Linked DNA regions of Cricetulus griseus. The protein of the gene in region 2 interacts with the protein of the main gene of each other region in a pairwise test. Links are inferred from orthologs where the notes say so. Each region holds a gene or a part of one and is shown on either strand. Other genes may lie near its edges. The genes, in order: Nelfa and Prr22.

Region 1 (10,967 bases), on a different chromosome or scaffold from region 2:
AGAGGAAACCTAACCTCATTGGAAATGTCGCCATAAAGACTGTTTTATAGGCAAGTCTGTGGAGATGGCTTCCTCTTCCTCCTTTTTTTTTTTTAAATAGAGTCTCACTCTGGATGGCTTGGAACTCAAGAGATCTGCCTACTTCTGCCTCCTGAGTGCTCAGATTAAAGGCATATCCCACAACAGACTCATTTTCTTGACTTATGATTGATGGGGATGGGCTCAGCTGCCTGTGGGTGGTGCTACTCCAAGCAGGTGTTTCTGTGGTTTGTGAAAGTAAACCAGTAAGCAGCATTCCTCCATGGCTTTTGCTTCAGTTCCTGCTCTGACTTCCCTCCATGACAGACTTCATAAACTCAAGCTGAAATACGTTATTCCCTAAGTTGTTTTTGCTTATGGTATCTTATCACAGCAATAGAAACCAAACTAAGACAACGCTATATTAGTTACTTTTCTTTCTTTTTTGGGGGGTGGTGGTGGTGGGTGTTCAAGACAGGGTTTCTCTGTGGCTTTGGAGGCTGTCCTGGAACTAGCTCTTGTAGACCAGGCTGGTCTCGAACTCACAGAAATCCTCCTGCCTCCACCTCCCGAGTGCTGGTATTAATGGCGTGCGCCACCACCACTCGGCTATTAGTTACTTTTCTATTTCTGTGATAAACATTGTGACCAAGGCAATTTACAGAAGAAAGAATTTACTTGGGTTTAGGGTTCCAGTATAAAAGTCCACTGTGGCAGGGAGGTGTAGCAGCAAGCGGCACACACACAGCTGGAGCAGAGCTGAGGGCTCACATCTTCAACCACAATGATGAAGCAAAGAACGAACTTGAAACAGTCTTTAAAATTTCAAAGCTCACCCCCTCCCCATGATATACATCCTCTAGGAAGGCCACAACTCCTAAGTCTCCCAAAACTGCTACTAACTGGGAGCCAAGTATTCAAATCTCAGAACCTATGGGAGACATCCTCATTCAAATCACCCCAACAGTCACATCAAGAAACAAGATGATTAAGCTAGTATTAACATCAGATAAAAACTGTTACAAAGACCAGACATGGTGGTGCATTTCTTTAATTCCAACACACTGGAGGCAGAGAGAGATGGAGCAAGTAGGGCCGCATAGAGACTCTGTTATTAAAAAAAAAGAGCCAAACAAGCATAAATGGATCTAAGTGCCAGCAAGATGCCCTAGCAGTAAGTAAAGATATTTCCCACTAAGTCTGACAACCAGAGTTTAATCTTTGGAAAAAAACCTACTCCTATAAGGTGTTCTGTGACCTCCACATATAAAGTATAGCAACATAATAAATAAATGTAATAAAAATAAAAAATAATTCTTTATGAACCATTTAAAAACCTAAGGACAAAACATTAGCCAATACTGTAACATCTCCACCTGCTGTTCTGTTCACAATGTAACTACAACAACTACAAAGTTATACATACCTATTAACACAAAACCAAAAATATACAAAGCAACAGCTGATACAGAGGAACAGGCAAATCCAGGATGCTACAATGCAGAGGATCAACAGTACAAGTAGACAGTATAGTAAGGTAAGAAAAAGAAATTAATAAACCCCGATTACACCAGAAAACAATCACAATAAGATCTCAGCCCAAAGCCAGATGTTGGTGGCGCATGCCTTTAATCCCAGCACTCGGGAGACAGACGCAGGTGGATCTCTGTGAGTTCAAGACCAGCCTGGTCTACAAGAACTAGTTCCAGGACAGCCTCCAAAGCCACTGAGAACCCTGTCTTGAAAAACAAACAAAAAAAGAAAAGAAAAAAAGAAAAAGATCTCAGCCCAGAGCTGAGTGTTTGCCTTTCATCCCAGCACTTGGAAGGCACAGGGAGAGGCAGACAGACCTCTGGAAGTTCCAAGCCAGTCTGGTCTGGTCTACATAGTGAGTTTCTGGACAGCCAAGGCTATGTAGAGACCCTGTCTCAAAACAAAACAACCCCCCCCACAAAAAAAAACAAGCAAACAAAAAAGCCAAAACCAAAACCAACAACAACAAAAAGGAGACCTCAGCCCAGGTGCTATTCTGACTCATTGCCTAAGTCTAAAGGATTTCTATATACCATTAGCAAACAAAAATATGAAATATACAAACAGAGGAGAATCACAGAACTTAATGATTCTGTTCTAAATAACTGCCCAAACCTCCTCTAGGTTACACACACACACACACACACACACACACACACACACACACACACACACACTGTTTTGTTTTTTGAGACAAGGTTTCTCTGTGTAGTTCTGGCTGTCCTGGATCTTGTTCTATACACCAGGCTGGCTTCAAACTCAGAGATATGCCTGCCTCTGCCTTCCGAGTGCTGGGATTAAAGTCCTGTGCCACCACTGCCCAGCAAGACTCTGTGCTATTAAGACTATTTACCCTGTGAGCTGAGAACATGGCTCCGTTGGTGGACTGTTACCAAGCCAAGTTGGAGGCCCCACGTTTAGATTCCCATACCCACATAAAAAGCCTTGCTCTGTGGGTATGAGCCTATATAGTCCAGCTCTACAGAGAAGACAGGAAGAACTCAGGAATACGCTGTAGAGCAACTGAGGCAGACACCTAAACCGTACTTCCACCTACATGTGCACATACACATGCACAAATGTAAACACAAAGATACACACACAAAAAAGACCCAGAGAAGTGCTGGGGCCAAGGAAAGCTGAAGCCATTACTGCAGGTTAGGTGGAGGCTTTACCCTTTATGTCACTATTGTAGGATCACACTATGAGCCCCGAGTGTGCATTATTTACTGAAAAAAAACCTGTGTCTACTGTGGTGTGACTCAGCCCTAGCACACACCTTTAATCCAAGAGCTTTCTGCTTGAGTATTGTAAACAGGATTAAACAAAGTCAACCATAGGTCAACAGATGGAGCAAACAACCAGCTGACAGGAAATGAACATAAGACTATTAAGAAGAAATAAAAGGGCTGGAGAGATGGCTCAGAGGTTAAGAGCACTGACTGCTCTTCCAGAGGCCCTGTGTTCAATTCCCAGCAACCACATGGTGGCTCACAACCATCTGTAATGAGATCTGGTGCCCTCTACTGGCCTGCAGGGACACATGCAGACAGAATACTGTATACATAATAAACAAAAAATAAATAAATAAATAAAAAGAAGAAATCACAGAGAGTAAGAGGGAGTCAGGAGGACAGATAGATACAAAAGAGGTAGAAGGGAGGGATATTCAGTCTAAAGAGAGGTTTTGTTTGAGATGGAATAGGAGAAAAACTTCTGGGGCATCAGCTGACCAGGAAGGTCAACTTTCTCTACCTTTCTGAGCCTGCATGACATCAAAACACATAACAATAAAGTGATAGCAAATAGCTCAGCACATTATCAGGGGAAAAAAAAAAAAGCTCACAGCAGAAGCAATAGGGCAGAAAAAACAGTCTGTGGTGTTGGACCTTCCATAGCCACATGTAAACTGAACTCTCAGCTTCACAAAAGCAGCCCATGGGAGGAGGAGGCTTACAGTGCAGTGCTAACGAGAGAGCACAGGTGCCTAACCTCAAGGAAGAAGCACTTTCTGAACAAGGCTAAGCAGGCAACAACCACAGGGAAGGAGAGGCTAAGTACCAAGAGCTCCATCCAAAAAGCTAAGCTGGGAAACAGCTGAAACATGTCATCAAACTAAGACAGTAAGAAGCCAGCATTTATTAAAAAGAATATTCTTCCAAAGTGACAAACCAAGAAAAATAGACCACCAGGAAAAATAAGTAGAACAACTCACAAAAAAGAAAGCCAAACAGAAAAATAAGCAGATGACACAACATTCAACTAAACCATTTTACTTGCCCTATGTGTCGTTGAGAATTATTTGATAGTATTGCTTTGAAAAGCCACTTGCCATAATCCTGCTACCACCTACAATTCTACTTCTAGAAAAAATGCATGCTCACAGTCACCTGGACATATAATGCTGGTGTCAGTCACAACAGAACAAGCTAACATGAAACAGGAAAAAAACAGATGAAAAAACAAGCCACAACCTAATCGTCCATGTGCTGTGTGCTTGGAGAAGAGAACACCATAATGCATGAAAAATCAAACTCTGGCCTGGTTGTGGCAGTGCACTCCTTTAATCCCAGCACTTGGGAGGCAGAAGCAGGCAGATCTCAATGAGTTCAAGGACAGCCTGGTCTACAAAGTTCCAGGACAGACAGGACTGTTACACAGAGAAACCCTGTCTCGAAAACAACCCCCTCCAAAAAAAAAAAAAAAAAAAAAAAAAAGAAGGAAGAAAGGAACAAATTGTCTGCAGCAACTTGTATGACTCTGTCCAAGTGTCTACCGACAGAGGACACACCCACACTACACCAAAAAAGCACATAACATAGTAACATGTTGCCATATTAAGTTCAAATGAGGCAGAAACTAAATACTCCTGCTAGGAATGCACACACAATTGATAATCCTGAAAGAAAAAGAAAAGATAAATGTTTACTCCCGTGGGGAAGAGAGGCAAGGAAGTGCTTGGGAGGATGCAGCCGTGTTCTTTTGTATGACGATAACAGAAGTGGGTCATTTAGCTATTAGTATTTGCTGAACTGAAAAGCATGCAGTTGCTTTTTTTTTTTTCAATAGCGCAACAAAAACTAAAACCAACCTTAGTGATACAACTAACCAGAAATGTTTAAAAACTAAGGTGCTTTGGTGTTTTTGCTGTCAGATGTGGTGGCCCAGACCTGCAATCCCAGCCCTCCAGATAGTGATGCAGGATATACCAAGTACGTGGAGGTCAAGCTGGGCTACCCTGCAGAGATATTTGTTGTGTATGTATTTGCAAAGCATCGTATATTTTGCAGAGATGCAACGTGGAGTAAGAATGCACTGAAGAGTGTCGACAGAATAGAGAGGATGCTAAGCAGACTGATACTCCGAGAGGCAAAGGCGACAAAATTAAGATAAGCAGTCACTTGACTAAGAGCCCCAAACCAAAGGTGGCTTCGGAACTGCAGCGTCCAGTACTCCGCGCCCGGCCAGCCGGGCTGAGGGCTGTTCCGGCCTTGGGCCCACGACCCCCGGTCGCAGCCAGCGGCCCGGCGGCTGGAGGCACTGACGCGTCGGGCCGGGTGGGTAGGCCGAGCGGCGCCAACCCGGAGATGAGCGCAGCCAGCGGGGGAAAAGGAAAGGCACGGCGTGGGTGCAGGCGGGAGGTGGGAGGTGGGAGGCGGGAGGCGGGAGCTGCGCTCCGGCCGGAGAGAAGCCGACCCGCGCCCTCACCTCGTCCACCGTGCGGCGCGGAAGATGCAGCGTCCCGAGCAGCAGCTTGAGCTTCACAGCCGATGAGAGACGGTGGAAGCAGAGGCGGATGTTATCGATGACCGCAGCGGTAAGCAGGGACGCAATGCTGGGGGGCGCCCACAGCTCGTCCGTGGCTCCCAGCTTGTTGTGCAGCCACAGGCCCGTGTCGCTCTCCCGCATGGACGCCATCTTGGCGGCAGTAACGCGCGCCGGCCGGCATCTTACGCGGACGCCTACGTGTCTCCAGCGAGGACCCCCAACATGGCGGCGCCCGTGAGCGCGGGGCGGGGCCTCGAGCGACAGACAAGAGCGATTGCAGACGGCTGCGCCTTGCGGAGGCTTCCGGCCGAGGGCCGAGGGCCGAGCGCCGCCGCCGCGATACGGAGCTGCCAGGAGGCCTGTGGGCTTCCGTATCGCATCATGGCGGCGCCCAACCCGGAGCCGGGCAATGACGTAAGCCCGAGTTGAGTCGCACCCCTGTGCCGTCGAGATGCACCGCCCAGAATCCGGGGATAGAGTTCGGTTTCTCCGTTCACTGCTCGGTGGGCGGATGTCCCGAGGGGCCGTTGGCCTGGTTCCTCACGGCGTCACTTCGCAGCCTGGAACCCTCTCACTCTTCCCCTTGCCGACCTGCAGACAGTGCTGCGGTGAGACTTTTTTTTCAAGACAGGGTTTCTCTGTAGCTTTGGAGGCTGCCTTGGAACTCGTTCGGACCAGGCTGGTCTCAGACTCGCAAAGATCCACCTGTCTCTGCCACCTGAGTGCTGGCACTAAAGGCGTGCGCCACCACCGCCCGGCACGGCGGGACTATTTTTTTTAAAGATTTATTTATTATGTGTACAGTGTTCTGTCTGCATGTATGACTGCAGGCCAGAAGAGGGCACCAGATCTCATTAGAGATGGTTGTGAGCCACCATGTGGTTGCTGGGAATTGAACTCAGGACCTCTGGAAGAGCAGCCAGTGCTCTTAACCTCTGAGCCATCTCTCCAGCCCCATACGGTGGGACTTTTAAAGTTATTTAAATTTTGAATGTGAGATCTTGGGGATGAATAAAAAAGGAAGAGTTGTGGCTTAAGAGTGTGTGTCAGGTTGACAAGGGGTCAGTTGAACTGCTGGTTTTGTGTGTCAACTTTACATAAGCTAGACTTATCAGAGAAAGGAGCCTCAGTTGAGGAAAGCCTCCATGAGATCTAGCTGTAAGGCATTTTATTTTCTCAATGATCAATGGGGGAGGGTCCAGTCCATGGTGGGTGGAACCATCCCTGGGCTGGTGGTCCTCGGTTCTATAAGAAAGCAGGCTGAGCAAGTCATAGGTAGCAAGCCAGTAAGCACCCCTCCATGGCCTCTGCATCAGCTCCTGCCCTGTTTGAATTCCTGTCCTGACTTCCTTCAATAATAAACAGCAATATGAAAGTATAAGTCAAATAAACTCTTTCCTCCCCAACTTGCTTTTTTGGTCATGGTGCTTCATCGCAGCAATAGAAACCCTAAGACAGATTGGTACCAGGAATTGTGGGGCTTGAGTACAGGTCTGTTCTACGTGTGAGACAGGTGGAGATGCCTGTGATTAATCATCAGAATTGTAGACTGCTGCTTTTACCCTAAGACAGGTGGAGTGGAGTAGGTTTTCCTGGAGTGCACCCCACCCCCCATGCTGAGGTTACTAGCAGGAATCAACTTGCAGCTCTGGCTGTCCTGGAAGACACCCGAGATCCACATGCCTCTGCCTCCCAAGTACAGGGATTAAAAGCGTGTGCCACTACCCATGTCCGTCCTCTTAAGTATTCTGGGACTGGTGGTCCATGCTTGTAATGCTGGGATTGGAAAAGGTGAGACAGAGCCACAAGTTATAGTCCATTTGGGGCCACAGAATGAGACTGTATAAAGAAAGAAGTGTTTATCTGTTTTCTCCTAATTGAAAAATTGTTTCCTGTAGAGAGGAGAGCGCTCTTAAAAGACTGTAGTGTGGTAACTAAAGTACAAAGGAGGGAGCTCTGAAGATGTAAGACTCACAAGGCCACTTCCTGAAGTTACCGGATGTTATATACATAGTTAATGGCAGGGAAGATACTTTTTTGTGTGTTGCCTGCTTCAGGGAGCATCAGGAATTTAGTATTTTGAAGTCAACACTTGTAGTGAAGTGGACTTTCCTGGTGCTCCAAATTACTCATACTTGCCAGGTGTGATGGCACATGACTTTAGTTCCAGCACTTGGGAGGCAGAGGCAGGCAGATCTCTGAGTTGGTGGCCAGCCTAGTCTAAATAATAAGTTCCAGGACAGCAGGAACTACATAGTGAGACCCTGCCTCAAAAGAAAAAAGTTATTCATACTTGTTTTGCCCAAGTCGCAAAGATCCCCAGAGACCACCAGGAAGACAGACCCACCAACCTGCAAAAGCAGTTCATTCAACCATGACAGGGACCTCATATAGCAAGCTGATGCAGCAGCCTCTAAAGGGAGTGAAGTTTCCTGTCTTCTGCTAGGTTTTAAAGACAAAGTTACAGGATTACATGAGTAGGTACAGGTTTGTTTCTGATTGGTTGACATTTGGGAACAATCAGGAGAATTTCTCAAAAGTCATATTTTGGCATGAAATACCTGTGTACCAATTATTCTCATTGGTCAGTGCTGAGAGGGAACATTCTGTGATTTCTATGGCTTTGTTTTGTTACTTTCAGGTGGCCTATTGTTCATAGATACCAATAGTTTTTGGAACTGTATCCTGTAGACTATTGGGGAGGTTTTGGTCTCCCCTGGAGTTTCTTTTGTAGCCAAACAGTTCCAGCAACCAAGTATCTACAAGTATCTAGGAGGCTGGGGGGGGGGTGTCTGGCGTTTGTGTCATGTGCTGAGTCAGAGGCCTACAAGTCTTCTGCAGCCTGTCATGGCTGCTAAAGCAGGGGGCTAAATGGGGGTCTGGTCCCTTTACTACTAGGAGTAAAGCCTTTTAGTTTAGTTTACCCCTTTCACACACACAAAAATCCCAAAAACAACCATTTTGATGAAGGATTTTTGGATCCTGAGATCCCAGATGTCTTAGTCAGTGTTGCATTGCTGTGAAGAGACACTATAATCACAGCAACTCCTAATAAAGGAAAGCATTTGATTGGGGCTGGCTTACAGTTTCAGAGGTTTAGTCCATTATCGTCATGGAGGAGAGCATGGTGTTGTGCAGGCAGACATGGTAGATTAGAGTTCTACATCCAGACCCAGTTCCACAGGCAGCAGAGAGAGAAAGAGAGAAAGACAGAGACAGACTGGGCCTTTCTTGAACATTTGAAACCCCAAAGCCCACCCCCAGTGACACACTTCCTCCACCAAAACCATACCTACTCCAATAGGGCAACACATCTAATCCCTATAAAAGAGCACTACTCCCTTGTAATGACAAAGCATTGGGATATGTGAACTGATGGGGGCCTATTCCTATCCAAACCACCACACCAGATTTATTTCATACACTTCACCCCAGAAGAAGAGAAATGAAGGTTCTTATACCAGTCCACTGGATGAAAGAGTAGTATGGTGAATTTCTATTTCCACAAAGCCAGAATGCACCCTAATTACAACTGAGGCCTGCAGGAGGTTTCCAGGGTGAGGGTGAGGGACAGTTAAAATGTGCAGCTTATTCTATGTCAGTCTCTTGTCTTGTTTGTGTGTGGTGTGAGTGTGTTAATGTGAAGTCCTGAGATCAACATTGGGTGAGCTGTGTGGCACTATTCCCTGGGAAACATAAACAAATTACAAAGCAAATCTACTCACCCCAGATAAGGAACCCATGACAGACTGAAGTATGGGTACCACCAAAGTCCAATTTGTTGAACCAAAGAGTTTTATTGGTATCACTTAGAAGAACATGGGTGAAAGGTTACTTATAGGAACAACAACAACAACACACACAAAAAGAAATGTGTTGGGATTATTTGCTTGTGCAGTGGCAGAAGTTGTTACAATCTGCAAGAGTTTGGAAATCAAGTGTGCCATCTTTGAACATTGAGCTGTACTGAGTGTTTTGTTGGAACCTCCAGCTTGCTCCTGCAGTTCCCACACAGTCTGAGAAGTCCCATTACTGTCTTTCCAAACCCTGCCCACTCAAGAGAATCTCTGAACAAAGGGAAGGCACCAAAAGGCCCAATTCTACAGCTCCTCTCCTCAAGTTGCCAGCAGCCCAACTCCCTACCTGAACCCAGTTTGTGGTGGGTGTTGCTCTTTGCTGCAGCTTCCGGAAATGAAACATGATCCACCAAACTCAACAAATCTACATGGAGTTTATTGGGAAAGGAAGCAAAGGGAGGGCAGCAGAAATGGAAAAAAAAGAAGAGAATGAGCTGGAGGTACTCGCTTATTATATAGGGGATGGGAACTGTTTAGAATGCGTCTCAGCAGTTGGGGTCATTGAAACTGGAGTCATGGAGCTTCCGTTAGCCCAGCTCTATGTGGCCCCAGTTCCACATGATTTCTGCCACCTAGTGCATGCACAATGCAGCCATGCAACCTTTGACAGCTGTCAGTGAGGAGCAATCACCTGTCAAAGATGGATCCCAGGCAACAGAAGGTAGCCCAGAGTAAATCAATCCCCAGGTGGGGAGGGAGAGAGCCTGAGGATCAGAGAGGCCCTGCGATCAGGAAAGATTCCCTAAGAAGAAGGCCCAGGCCCAGGCCCAGGAGAGGGCTGGTGCGGAGTGACAGTTGGGTGCTGAGGATAAACCACGTGGCTGGAGGAGAGAACTTGGGTGTAAGAACAGGGCCAGGTTGCCCAGAACCCAGGGAGAGGGAGAAGCCAGGATAACAACAATGAGAAACTGCCTGACTCACTGGCATGACTTTTATAGCAGGAATAGGCTTCAGAGCCTAAGGAGACAGAGAGCCAGCCACTCTGTGGTGATGTCTGAATATACCAGACAGGTGGAAGGAAGAAGCAACTGAAGAGGTGGATGCTAAAGTTTGGAGTTGAATGTGGTGGGTGGCAGAATCCAGCAGAAACAAAGCGTCCGTGCCTTAGGAGAGTCAGATCAGCAGCTTGGTTCAGTTAGGAGAGGCTGTGTGCCAGGCAGGACAGTTGAGAGGTTCCTCCATCTTGTATTCTTGCTGAGGCCATTTTAGGCTTAACTAGAGTTTGATCTCCTTGATGGAGAATCCCATGGAAAATTACGTAACTCTATTTATTCTAGGAACCAGAGGTCAGGATTGTTGTGCCCAAGTCTCGAAGACCCCCAGAGACTACCAAGGAGACAGACTCACCAAACTGCAAACACAAGGCTTTATTGTTTAATCCTACTGGTAGGGACTCCATCTAGTAGGCTGATGCAGCAGCCTCCAGAGGGAGCAAAGTCCCTTGTCTATTGCCAGAATTTAAAGGAAAAAAAAAATCACAGAATTACATCAGTAGGTATGAATTGGATCCTGATTGGTTGACATTTGGGGAAAAATGAGGGGAATTTCCCAGAGTCAGGGCAACTGGTTTGTTAGTATTTTTGATTGGTTGGCCACAGGTGGCTTTGTCTGTTACTTGCAGGTAGCCTGTTCTCATTGGCTGGTGCTGGGAGGAAGCATTCTGTGGTTTCTACATCTCTTGGAGGTGGTTTGTTATCAAACACAGTATCCAAGTACTTACTAAATCTAAGAGGAAGGTTGTCTTGGAGTTTTTGCTCACAATACAAGGACTAAAAGCTAGGGGACTGGATT
Region 2 (10,770 bases):
CATTGGGATAAAGATAAGATGGCTGGAGCACCAACAGCCACCTTGGGCCTCTATATGGAAGTCCCTTGATAAGGATAGGACAGAAGCCTAGGTCTTCTGTGTCTTAATTACCATTTTGTCACTGTGAGGAGACACCATGACAAAGTCAACTTAAAAATGAAAGCAATAAGCAGGGCAGTGGTGGCCTGAACCTTTAATCCCAGCACTCAGGAGGCAGAGGCAGGTGGATCTCTGAGTTCAAGGCCAGCCTGGTCTACAGGGCGAGTTTTGGGATAGGCTCCAAAAGCTTCACAGAGGAAAACCTCTTGGGGGGAAAAAAAAGTGTTAACTGGGCGTTGCTTACAGTTTCATAGGGGGAGCCCATGCATATCATGGTGGGGAGCAGACAAGCTTGACTCTGAAGTAGTAGCTGAGAGCTACATGTGACCCATAAGAGGGAGGCTGAGAGATGGGCCTATGTGGACTGGTTTTGTTTGTTTGAGACAGGGTTTCTCCGTGTAGCCCTGGCTCTTCTGGAACTTGTTGTGTAGACTAGGCTGACCTCACACAAATCCACATGACTGTGCCTTCTGAGTGGTTGGACTAAAGGTGAGTGCCCCCATGGCTTGGTTTGGCATGGGGCTTTTGAACCCTCCAAGCCCATCTCGTCCAACAAGGTCACACCTCCTAATCCTTCCCAGACAACTCCCCCAGGTGGGGACCAAGCATTCAGACATACAAACCTGTGGGGGCCATTCTCATCCAAACCACCACACTTGGTATTTGAAGGCCCCTGTGGCCTTCAAACACAGCTGGGGTGGAATTCAAACTCGAGGGCCAGTTTCCTCAAGTTTTCAATACAGACAAGGGCAGCTAAGACACCTAGCCTGGTGGACAGAACTAGCAGAGTCTTGGCCTTCCTGTTGAGAGACAGCCATGATTGGACCACAGCTACTCCTGAAGGACAGTCTGTAATGGCAGGTGAGGTGAGACAGCCGGTACCCAGAGCAGGAAGCTGAGAGCTGGAGGTGGTGGGAGGCTACACACCCATGCCCACCCCAGGAACAAGCATCATCTAAGGTTCTGTAAGCAAACAGTACCACCAACTAAGGACCAAGGATTCGAATGTCTGAGGGTGTGGGGGGGCGCATCTCATGCAGACCATCATACTCAGGAAATGAGTGTTCCCATGGCACTATGCTCCCAGCTCCTCCCCCAAGCACTCCATTCAAAGTAATGCCTCAAGCTGCGGCTGCCTTGGCACTTGCTCTGGGCAGTTAGATCAGGACCTGGCCCAGGCCTGGGTCTCACTGGGGCCCTGATCCTGTTTTCTATTTCTGCTCTTCATCCTGGAAACCTGTTGCCTCCCCATGCATACTCCAGACTACCAAGTCTCCCCGAGCCTTGGCAGGAGGTGGTGCATGTTGGCATGTACCAACTTGCAGGGCTCTGCAACAAAAGCTCCCTGATGCAGTGATGCTTCCAGCAGTCTGTCTAGTGGTGGCGGCCTAACCTGCTTCAACTCCCTTGTCCCACATGATGTAGAGCTCAAAGGACATTGGTCCTTCATGGTTTGGGGAAAACTTTAAAAAAAAAAAAAAGAAGAAGCTGGGCGTTGGTGGCTCACGCCTTTAATCCCAGCACTCCGGAGGCAGAGGCAGGCGGATCTCTGTGAGTTCAAGGCCAGCCTGGTCTCCAGAGTGAGTTCCAGGATAGGCTCCAAAGCTACACAGAGAAACCCTGTCTCAAAAAAACAAAAAGGAGAGAGAGAGAGAGATTTGGAGTCATGTGTGGTGGCGCACGCCTTTAGTCCTAGCATTCTGGGGGCAGAGGCAGGCAGATCTCTGTGAGTCCAAGTCCAGCCTGGTCTACACAGTGAGTTCCAGGACAGCCAGGGCTACACAGAGAAACCATCTTGAAAAACACAACAAAAACAAAAAGATTTATTTGGGGACCGGGGAGATGGGTCAGTATTTAGAGCAGAGGACTTGGATTCAATTCCCAGCATGCACATGGCACTCCACGAGCATCTGTAACTGCGTTAGGCCCTGTGCAGCCTCCTCAGGCACTGCGCTCACATGGGGCACAGGCACACCCAGGCAAGACACCAGCAGACATGAAATGAAAATCTTTTTGTTGTTTAATAAAGAAAATGGAGGTCTCCCACCCAGGGAGACATTCTCTCCCTGAAGCTTGTCTTCCCTCCTGGTTCTCCCATCTCGGGCTGATGTGTCTCCATCCCCGGGTCCTGCTCCAGGCCCCACCCTACCACCCTTTAGTGACTTCGCCCATTCCCAGAACTGCCGTCCCCGTGCTCAGGCTTGTCAGCTTCTTGCTCTTAGCAGGAGCAGACAGAGTCTCAGGGTGGTGGCAGGGGTGGGGGTGGCCCAGGGACAACAGGTGGGATCTTAGCATTGCCATTCAGACACTCGCAGGACAGGCAGGAGCTTGGCATCATCCTTCAGACATTCGGGACCTAACCTTCCACCATGGCTCTTCCCTTCAGACACTGGGTCAGGTTGTTTTCTGGGGCAAGCGCCCGGACACTTTAGATCACTGATCGGCCCAGGGCTGTGCATGATGTGAAAGCGAGAGGAGGAACTTGGAGGACAGTCTCTTGCTGACACTGGAACTAAGCCGATGGCCAAGACCCCACAGTCCTGTTTCCATTCCTGTGCTACATGTAACCAATTTCAGCTTTTTACTTTCAAAGATAGGGTTGAACTACCTAGCCAGTCTGGAACTATGTAGCCCAGACTGGCCTCAAACTCACAGAGAGCTGCCTGTCTCTGCCTCCTGAGTGGGGTCTTTTTGTTTGTTTGTTTGGTTGGTTCTTGTTTTTTGAGATGGTTTCTCTGAGGCTTTGGAGGCTGTCCTGGAACTATAGCTCTTGTAGACCAGGCTGGTCTCGAACTCACAGATACATGCCTGCCTCTGCCTCCGAGTGCTGGTCTTAAAGGCTATATAGTAGCAGGTGACCTTGAACTCCTGAGCCTCCTGCCTCCACCTAGTTCTGAGATGACATATGTGGGCTGCCATACCATTTATGTGGTACTGGGGGCTGACCCAGGACTTCATCCGTGCCAGTCAAAGGCTCTGCCCACTGCGACCTTTGTCATTGATCTCAATTGGAACTGCTTCCAGGGGAACTTCCTGGATGTGCCCCAGCCCGATGAGGAGCACTTCCATGCTACACGGTGCTCCCGACCCATGATTCACAGCACTTACATGCAAGCCCTTCCATCATTACTCTACAATCCTAAAGCTGTACCTCCCAAACTCTTGCTTAGCCACACTGGAGGGAAGGAAGCCAGGAGATAGATGGTGTCTCTTCCCAGCAACTCTGGGAAGGGGGGCACCGAGCAAGGCAGGGAACTCCAACTCTCATAGGACTCTGTTAGTGGAATTAAGATGGGCTGCTCAGTGGGCAGAGCATCTGCCCACACACAGGAGGCACTGAGCTCTGCCCACAGGACCTGTCAACCCAGCACTCTGCAGGTAGAGGACAAAAGACTAGGAGTTCAAGGTCATTCTCAACTACATAGGTTTGTGGCCACCTGGAGCTACAAAAGTCTTGTCCAAGAAAGAAAAGCAAGCTAAGAGCCAGGTGGTGGTAGCGGCGGTGGCGGCGGCGCACGCCTTTAATCCCGGCACTTGGGAGGCAGAGGCAGGTGGATCTCTGTGAGTTTAAGATCAGTCTGGTCTACAAGAGTTAGTTCCAAGACAGCCTCCAAAGCTACACAGAGAAACCCTGTCTCAGAAAAAAACAAAAAACAAAAAAAGAAGGAAGGAAGGAAGGAAAGAAAAGGAGGCGAAGCATGGTAGCGCATGCCTTGAGGGAGACAAATCCCTGTGAGCTCCAGGCCAGCCAGGGCTACACACTGAGACCCTGTCTCAGCTAACAAACATTTACAGAGTAGGTGAGGGAGAGAATGACGACCACAAGCAGCAGTGGCCTTGGGTGACAGACTGGTAAATTATGACTATATGGTCAGAGAACAACTCTGTGGAGCTGGTTCTCTCCTTCCACCTTCACGGGTTTGGGATCCTGTTAGCCTCACCTGCTCTTGCTCTTGACTGTGGGCTCCCCAAGAGACAGACCCCCTTCTGGCACCCTCAGCTTTGGGGGGAAAGACTTGTTCCCTCCCCACAACACACAGCACCCTCCCCCAAAGCCCACACCTGGCCCACAAATAACCATCTGTGTCATGCCCTCCCCAGCAACCATGCTGAGTCTGAGCTCAGCTTCCCAGATACCACCATAGCCCCCAAATAGCAGCGGTGACCTCCCTGCCTGCCTTCTACAAACTGTGGCTTTGTGGGGACTGTTGAGGTACTGAGAGCTGGCGGGGAGAGCCACCGGCCAGGGCCTGCCCTCCACACTGTGTACACTCCTCTCTGGACCACCAAACATACAAGGGAACCCATTTCAGTGTGAGGTCTGGATGGAAAAGAAAACCCCACTTCTCAGGAGGCCTCCCAACATGGCCAGCCCCAGGTGACTGATTTTCTTGTTGATACAGTCTCATATAGCTCAGGCTAGCCTTGAAATTCTGATTCTTTTGGTTCCTCTCATTTCCTCAGCACCAGGGTTACACTCATGAAACACACAGTTCATGTGGCACTGGGGATGGAGTCCAGGGTCTTGTGTGTAGCAACTGAGCCCCAAGCACTCTACCCACTGAACCCCAAGCACTGAAACCCAACACTGTATTCTACTGAGCTACAGCCCAGCCCCTGTGTCCTCATTTCTTTTAGACGGGGCATCCTTTGTGGTTCTGACTGACTGCCCCAGCCTCCCGAATACAGGGTAACAGTTCAGATGCACGCCTGATACCTGACACTTAATTCTGAGGTTCCTGGCCCAACTCTGAAGGCGTCTAGCTACTGCCGGGTCCCCTCTGGCCTCACCAGGTCACAGCAACACATAGCAGAGATCAAATCACTTTAATTGAGGGCAGTTCCCGGGTCCGGCCTGGGTCCTGTGGTTGTGGTGCCAGCGGGGCCTGTGGTCTGCCGTTGTCTGCCACCTGGTTTCCCTTTCTTGGTGGATGTGGTGGTCTTCTTTCCTGACTGATGGGACCGTAGGCCAGGGGCCACCATGTCAGTGACAGGGACCCCCACATGGGGCAGCGGCTCATCATCCAGGGCCTTGAAGCTGAAAACGTAATCCACACTGGCCACAGCATCCAGGACCTCAGGGACGCCATAGTCGAAGGACAGCAGCTCATCTGGCAGGTGCAGGGAGCGGATGTCGGCTGTGCAGTCATCCCCACCACCACCACTGTCTCTCGGGCTGGGCCCGGTACCCCTGTGCAGGGCCACCTCAGGTTCAGCGCCACCAGGGAGACAATCGAAAAGTTTCATGGCATCTTCTAGAAGGACCTTGTCCGGTAAGAAGAAAGCGCGGGCCACCTCAGGAGGCACGGTCTCACCTGAGCCCATGGGGGTGATGTCCTCCACCTCGGCCACCTTGGGCTCCGCAGGCCCAGGAGGGAACCGCAGACCCAGCCTGGCCACGGCACTGCCCTGCAGCTCCCTGGGGGCTTCGATGGGCCTCATGGTCACCTGGGGCCCTGGGAACTGGCTAGCATGGCCACTGAGATGGCCATAGGGTCCAGGTGGCAGCGAGTGTGCCGTAGGGACTGTGATGAGCAAGGGAGATGGCTTAGTCTCTTTGGGGGTTGGTGGGGGTGCCAGGCCATCTCTGAGCATCTCCATAAAGTTGAGGGACCCTCCATCCCCCACAAAGCCCACTGCCTCGGGCCCAGACTCCTCAGGTGGAAGGTAGTGTGTAAGGTACTGTGGCCCACCGGGAGCTGGCTGGTAGTGGGGGTACAGCGGAGGTGGAGGCCCCGGGGCCTTGAGGTAGGATGGGGCCTCCAGCAGGTAGCCACTGGACAAGGTGGGACCCCCGGCCACTGCCACCTTGTATAGGGACGACTGGCCGAAGTCGGAGGTGGCCCACTCGATTCGGTAGATGCGGGGGTCAAAGAAGCAGCCGCAGGGAGCCATCTGGAAGCCTGCAGGTGGCAGACACTCTGAGAGGGGTGTCCATGGGGGAACCAGACCATGGGATGGGAGGGACAGACCAAGACCCAGGCACATAGGACACAGCCCTCACCTCAAAGGTGCCTGTGTGTACTGGCTTTGTTTAGCAGTCATCTGGGGATTCATGGCGGGTAAGACACTCGGAGACTGTTGGGGAAACTCCTATTCTCAGGGGAGCAGTGACTGAGCTTGTGAGTGGCTTGGCCTTGTGAAAACCCTTACCTAGTGGCAGCTGTTGTCACCGAAGCAAGCTTCGGCCTGGTCTCTAGTTGTCACTTCAAACTGTGGCACATGAGTTAGTATGGGGGGGATCTGTCTGGGGTACAGAGGCGACCCAGGGTCTCATCTCGGGTCAGGACGGAGCCTGCTCTCAGCATGCTCAGGGTGCTGGCCAGTACCTGCTGGAGGCGCTGATAGCACATCGTGGTCCGAGCCGGGAGTCTGATAGAGCAGGCTGGCGCTGGCTGTGGATAAAGGCGTCTGGTGGGTGGGGCAGGAGCCCAGGCCCCGTGGCCATCACACACCCCTGCCTGCTACCACCATCGTACCTACGGTGGGAAGTGGTTCTGGGCCACCTGGCACCTCAGTGCCCTCCAGGCCCCGTGGGCCGAAGCCTTCCTGGGGTATGGCTGGGGGGTAGAGGGTTTTGGGGTGCTGCATGGGGCAGACAGGCCACCCTGGGGGGGGGGCCTGGGTGGCAGCAGAGGCACCTCGGGGACACAGTCCCCTGGGTTGTTTGCCCTGTTGCTAGGTGGAGGGTTCCAGTCCAGGATGGGCCCACCCCTCGGATTCCGGGGTGGGGGTGGGCAGGAGGTGACTCCCTTCACTGCCTGGGTAGATACACCCTGGGCCAGGTTGCCCAGATTCACAGCCACAAGGGTGCTGGCCAGCAAAATGGATAGCTGGGAGTCGAAAACAGGGCAGACAGGAACCAGGCACCAGCAAAGGCCACACCCTGGATGAAGAGGAAAGGATGGCACATAAAAGAAAACTGAATATGATGGTAGGTACGTGCCTAGGGTTCCAGGAGTTCAAAGTAAATCCCAGGAAACATGGAGCCTTGTCTCAAAAACCCAACAAAAAAAAAGTTGTAGAAGAATAAAATTTATTGTCTCCGTTGTCTACTTGTAGGCATTGGCTTTGTGCTTGGGCAGGAAGGCAAAGCCGGGTGGGACTGGTCCAAGCAGCATCTCACTGTGGGGACAGGGTGACAAGTCAGGCCTGGGCCTCCCAGCATCACCCCACAGGACCCAGGCCAGTGGGTACCTGATGCGAATCCAGTCTGCGGCCTGCTGGCTGGCCATGAGCGTCTCCAGGTGGTCTCGGCCTAGGTAGTAGGGTGGTCTTTCATTGATCCTCTGTGGGAGTCGCTCAAGCAGGCCCACGGGCACATACCTGCAGGAGGACAGGGGAGGCAATAAGACTGGGTGAGGCCTGAGGCTACAATCCGAGGCTCCAGCACTCTCCTTGTCTGACGCTCACCTGCAAAGAAAGGAGAGCCACTCGAGAAGGAAGCGCCGGGTCCGCTCCACACCCTGCGTGTCAGAGCCCCAGTGTTCCAGGCCGTAGTGTGTGAAATCCCTCAGGATGTCCAGGCGCTCAGAGGACGAGATGTCCCAGTGTCTCTGTTCCTTGATCTCTGTGAACAGCCAGGGCTTGAGCAAGGCACCACTGTGGAGGGAGACAGTCAGTGGGTACAGTGCTTCCTGCCAGTCACCTTAGCACCGGGCCTTGCCCACCCAGAGGCCCCATGTGTAGAAACCTCTAGCATCCCTGTCCCAGCCCAGATGCCACTCACCGGGCGATCATGACCCCTGCGACACCTGTCTGCATGGCACAGTTGGCATCCTCAAACGAAAGGATGTCCCCGTTTCCTGAGGAGACAGAGTGGCGTCTTGACAGTGTTGGGGAAGTCATCGGTCTTGGGATTTCCCAGGGACCCAGCATCCTCCCTGTCTTTCCAGCAGGGTGAGTGGCCCCGGTGGCTCTGGGCACCTACCGAACAGGGGCATGGGGCTGGCTACCTTGGCGCACTGCTCGATGTAGGGCCAGTCAGCCAGCCTGGTGTAGCGCTGTTCCCGGGAACGGCCATGGAGCTGAGGGGAGGGGGGTGCAGTGATGAAGGAAGGTGGAGGGGTTAAGGGTGAGAGGGGGCAAGGGAGACAGCAAGGAACCAAAGAGACAGAAAACAAGAGACCAGGAAAACCACAGTGACCCCAAGATGGGACCACACTGCCCCTGACACCCACTGTGACCAGTGCGACACCCCAGTCCCGCAGCTCAGGCAGCAGGCGGTGTGCCAGGCTCACACGCTCCTGAACACCCGTGCGCATCTTCACAGTCAATGGCACATCCAGCACCTGTGGGTACAAGGGCAGAGAGGGAGCAGACAGCAAGCCTGGAGGCTGCATGGTGAACTATGTGGGAACGAGGAGGGACATGTCCCTGATGAGCCCAGGTTACCTCATTCACGCCCCTTACAATCTGCTGGAACTTGGCTGAGCGATTCATGAGTGCGCAGCCGCCACCCTGTGGGACACGGACAGCCTGGTGACCCTCCCAAGAAACGTACACTCTCCCTATGGGTGCCCACATACAACTGAATTGCCTGCCACCCAGCTCAGTGTTCTCCATGTCCAGATGGAGACAGCAGGGCAGGGTCCCAGGCTTGGGCCACACCCTCCCAAGCTCCAGAGCTGAGTGGCTGTCACCTTCTTGTAGACAAGGTCGATGGGGCAGCCCACATTAATGTCCACAAAGTCCACGTCGATGGTGCGGTTCAGGAGCTCAGCGCATTTGGTCATGGTGTCAGGGAAGGCGCCCTCTAGCTGCACCAGGCAGTGTGTAGTCAGTGACCAGCCCACCAGGGTCATCCCACGGACACCAGGTCAGGGGGACAAGGCCACAGATCCTGGGTATTGCTCCCCAACATGGCTGCCCCTTCCAAACTCCCTCAGGGCAAACACTAACTTGCACCCCAAAGATGTCCTCGCAGGGGTGGCGCTTGAGCAAGGCCCACTCAGACATCTGTCCCTGCAGCAGGTTCGTGCACACGGCCATCTCACCGCACGTCACATCCGCACCGAAGCGCTTGCAGATGCGGCGAAAGGGTAGGTTCCCGCACTGGCTAGGACAAGGACATGTTCAGGCCTCAGAGGTCAGCAAAGCAGGGACACCAGACACCAGCAATGCCCCAGGAACTACTGAGCCACCCACCCCAGGCACCTCCTACCGTGGTGAGCGGAGCAAGGTATAGCTTTCCACTGATGTCCAGCTGGGAGGGAAGGAAACATCAGGTGAAGTTAGGCCTCCTTCCCCGCTCTAACGCATGCTCTCCCTCCCACACGCCCAGTGGCCTCCTTCTATTGCTTGCTCTGTACACACCACATCCATTCCTCTTAGGAGAAAAGTTCATCAGCACCCAGGCTTCTATACTGGAGAGCTTCTAGTCAACCACTAAAACCCTAGTCTCAATGCCCTTCCCTTCAGGAGTCTTCCATGTTGCCCCCTTAGCCCCTAGCCCTGATCCTCCAGGCTCTTTCTGGTGAGGCAGGATTGTGGACAATGTTGGAGCCCAGATGCTATGCCTGTACCTGTAGGGTAAAAGGGCCAGCCAAAGAAACTGAAGTTGGCCCTGAAACCAGAGCCAGTGAAAGAAATCCATCCTGGCCCTGAAATTAGAGCCAACAGGATAAAAAGGACCAGTGAAAAAAAACACACTTTGGCCAGGTGGTAGTGGCACACGCCTTTAATCCCAACATTCGGGAGGCAGAGGCAGGCCGATATTTGTGAGCTCGAGACCAGCCTGGTCTACAAGAGCTAGATCCAGGACAGCTTCTAAAGCCACAGAGAAACCCTGTCTCAAAAAACCGGAGAAACAAACAAACAAAAAGCACTTTGACCAGGAAATCAGAACCAATCCCTGAGCAGAAAAAGAACCAATCCCTGAGCATGAGATCTACCCAATCTGAGCTCAAGGGACTGAAATCTGACCAATCCCACCCTGGAAATCTTCTCCCTGGAAAAACTCTACCCGAAGAAGCCCTATATAATCCCTGTGCCTGTTCAGTTTGTTGCTGCCTTTTCAACCCTGGCAAATGGCAACCATCTTCCTGGATTATTCCCTCCCAATAAATCTCTTGAATGAGGTTTGGGTAAGACCTTCCTTCACTAAAGCAGAGATAGAGCCTGAGTGGAGTGGAGCAGGGCTGTAACGCTCTCACCGGGGAAACCTTCCCCTAGTAAAGAGGAGATGTTACACTATACTCCAGGGACAGAGCAGAACTGTAAAACTTCACTGGGGAAGCCCTCTCCTGCCAGAGCAGAGCTGTTAACACTGGTGAAGCCTTTCCCTGGAGCAGGGCCGGAAGTTGCTATGCTTACTGTGACCTGTGGTATTCCTTGGCTCCCTTTCCATTTGTGTCCCATGCTTACAGTACCCTTACCCGCTTCTTCTCACAGGGCCGTAGCCGAATAATGTCCTCGTCCGTCAAGGGGCCACAGGTGGAAATAGGGCTGCCACTCGGGGTGCTGGCCCCTCCCGCAGTGTCCAACTGGGCATGGCAGCTGTTCTGGTCTGGGGTAACCGTGGCTACAGTGGCCTCAGGGACAACAACGGGCATGGGGCCCTGGGTCAGGCGGCGCAGGGCCTGCTCAGCTCGTTCAAAGCACACTTGGCGCTTACGCAGCTGCTGCTGCAGGGCCCTGTTCAGGCCATTGCGCACTAGAGGGAGGTGCACA

The links.
Region 1: the proteins of Prr22 (region 2) and Nelfa interact in a two-hybrid assay, tested with the Homo sapiens proteins (2 studies listed by BioGRID). The two-hybrid records come from large-scale screens. The link is inferred for Cricetulus griseus from reciprocal best matches to the Homo sapiens genes PRR22 and NELFA.

Annotation. Positions count from the first base shown.
Region 1 is NW_023276807.1:102,942,241-102,953,207, forward strand, and holds the start of Nelfa (negative elongation factor A), read right to left. Parts: upstream 5,613-10,967; 5' UTR 5,470-5,612; coding exon 5,260-5,469; intron 1-5,259. UniProt on the Homo sapiens protein: Essential component of the NELF complex, a complex that negatively regulates the elongation of transcription by RNA polymerase II.
Region 2 is NC_048598.1:96,772,048-96,782,817, forward strand, and holds Prr22 (proline-rich protein 22), read right to left. Parts: upstream 6,965-10,770; 5' UTR 6,691-6,964; coding exon 6,579-6,690; intron 6,539-6,578; exon of another isoform or gene 6,495-6,538; coding exon 6,429-6,494; exon of another isoform or gene 6,104-6,428; intron 6,003-6,103; coding exon 4,927-6,002; 3' UTR 4,908-4,926; downstream 1-4,907. Other genes in the region: Dus3l (tRNA-dihydrouridine(47) synthase [NAD(P)(+)]-like), read right to left, coding at 7,152-7,224, 7,297-7,425, 7,513-7,701, 7,829-7,904, 8,030-8,390, 8,494-8,559, 8,742-8,858, 9,001-9,153 and 2 more.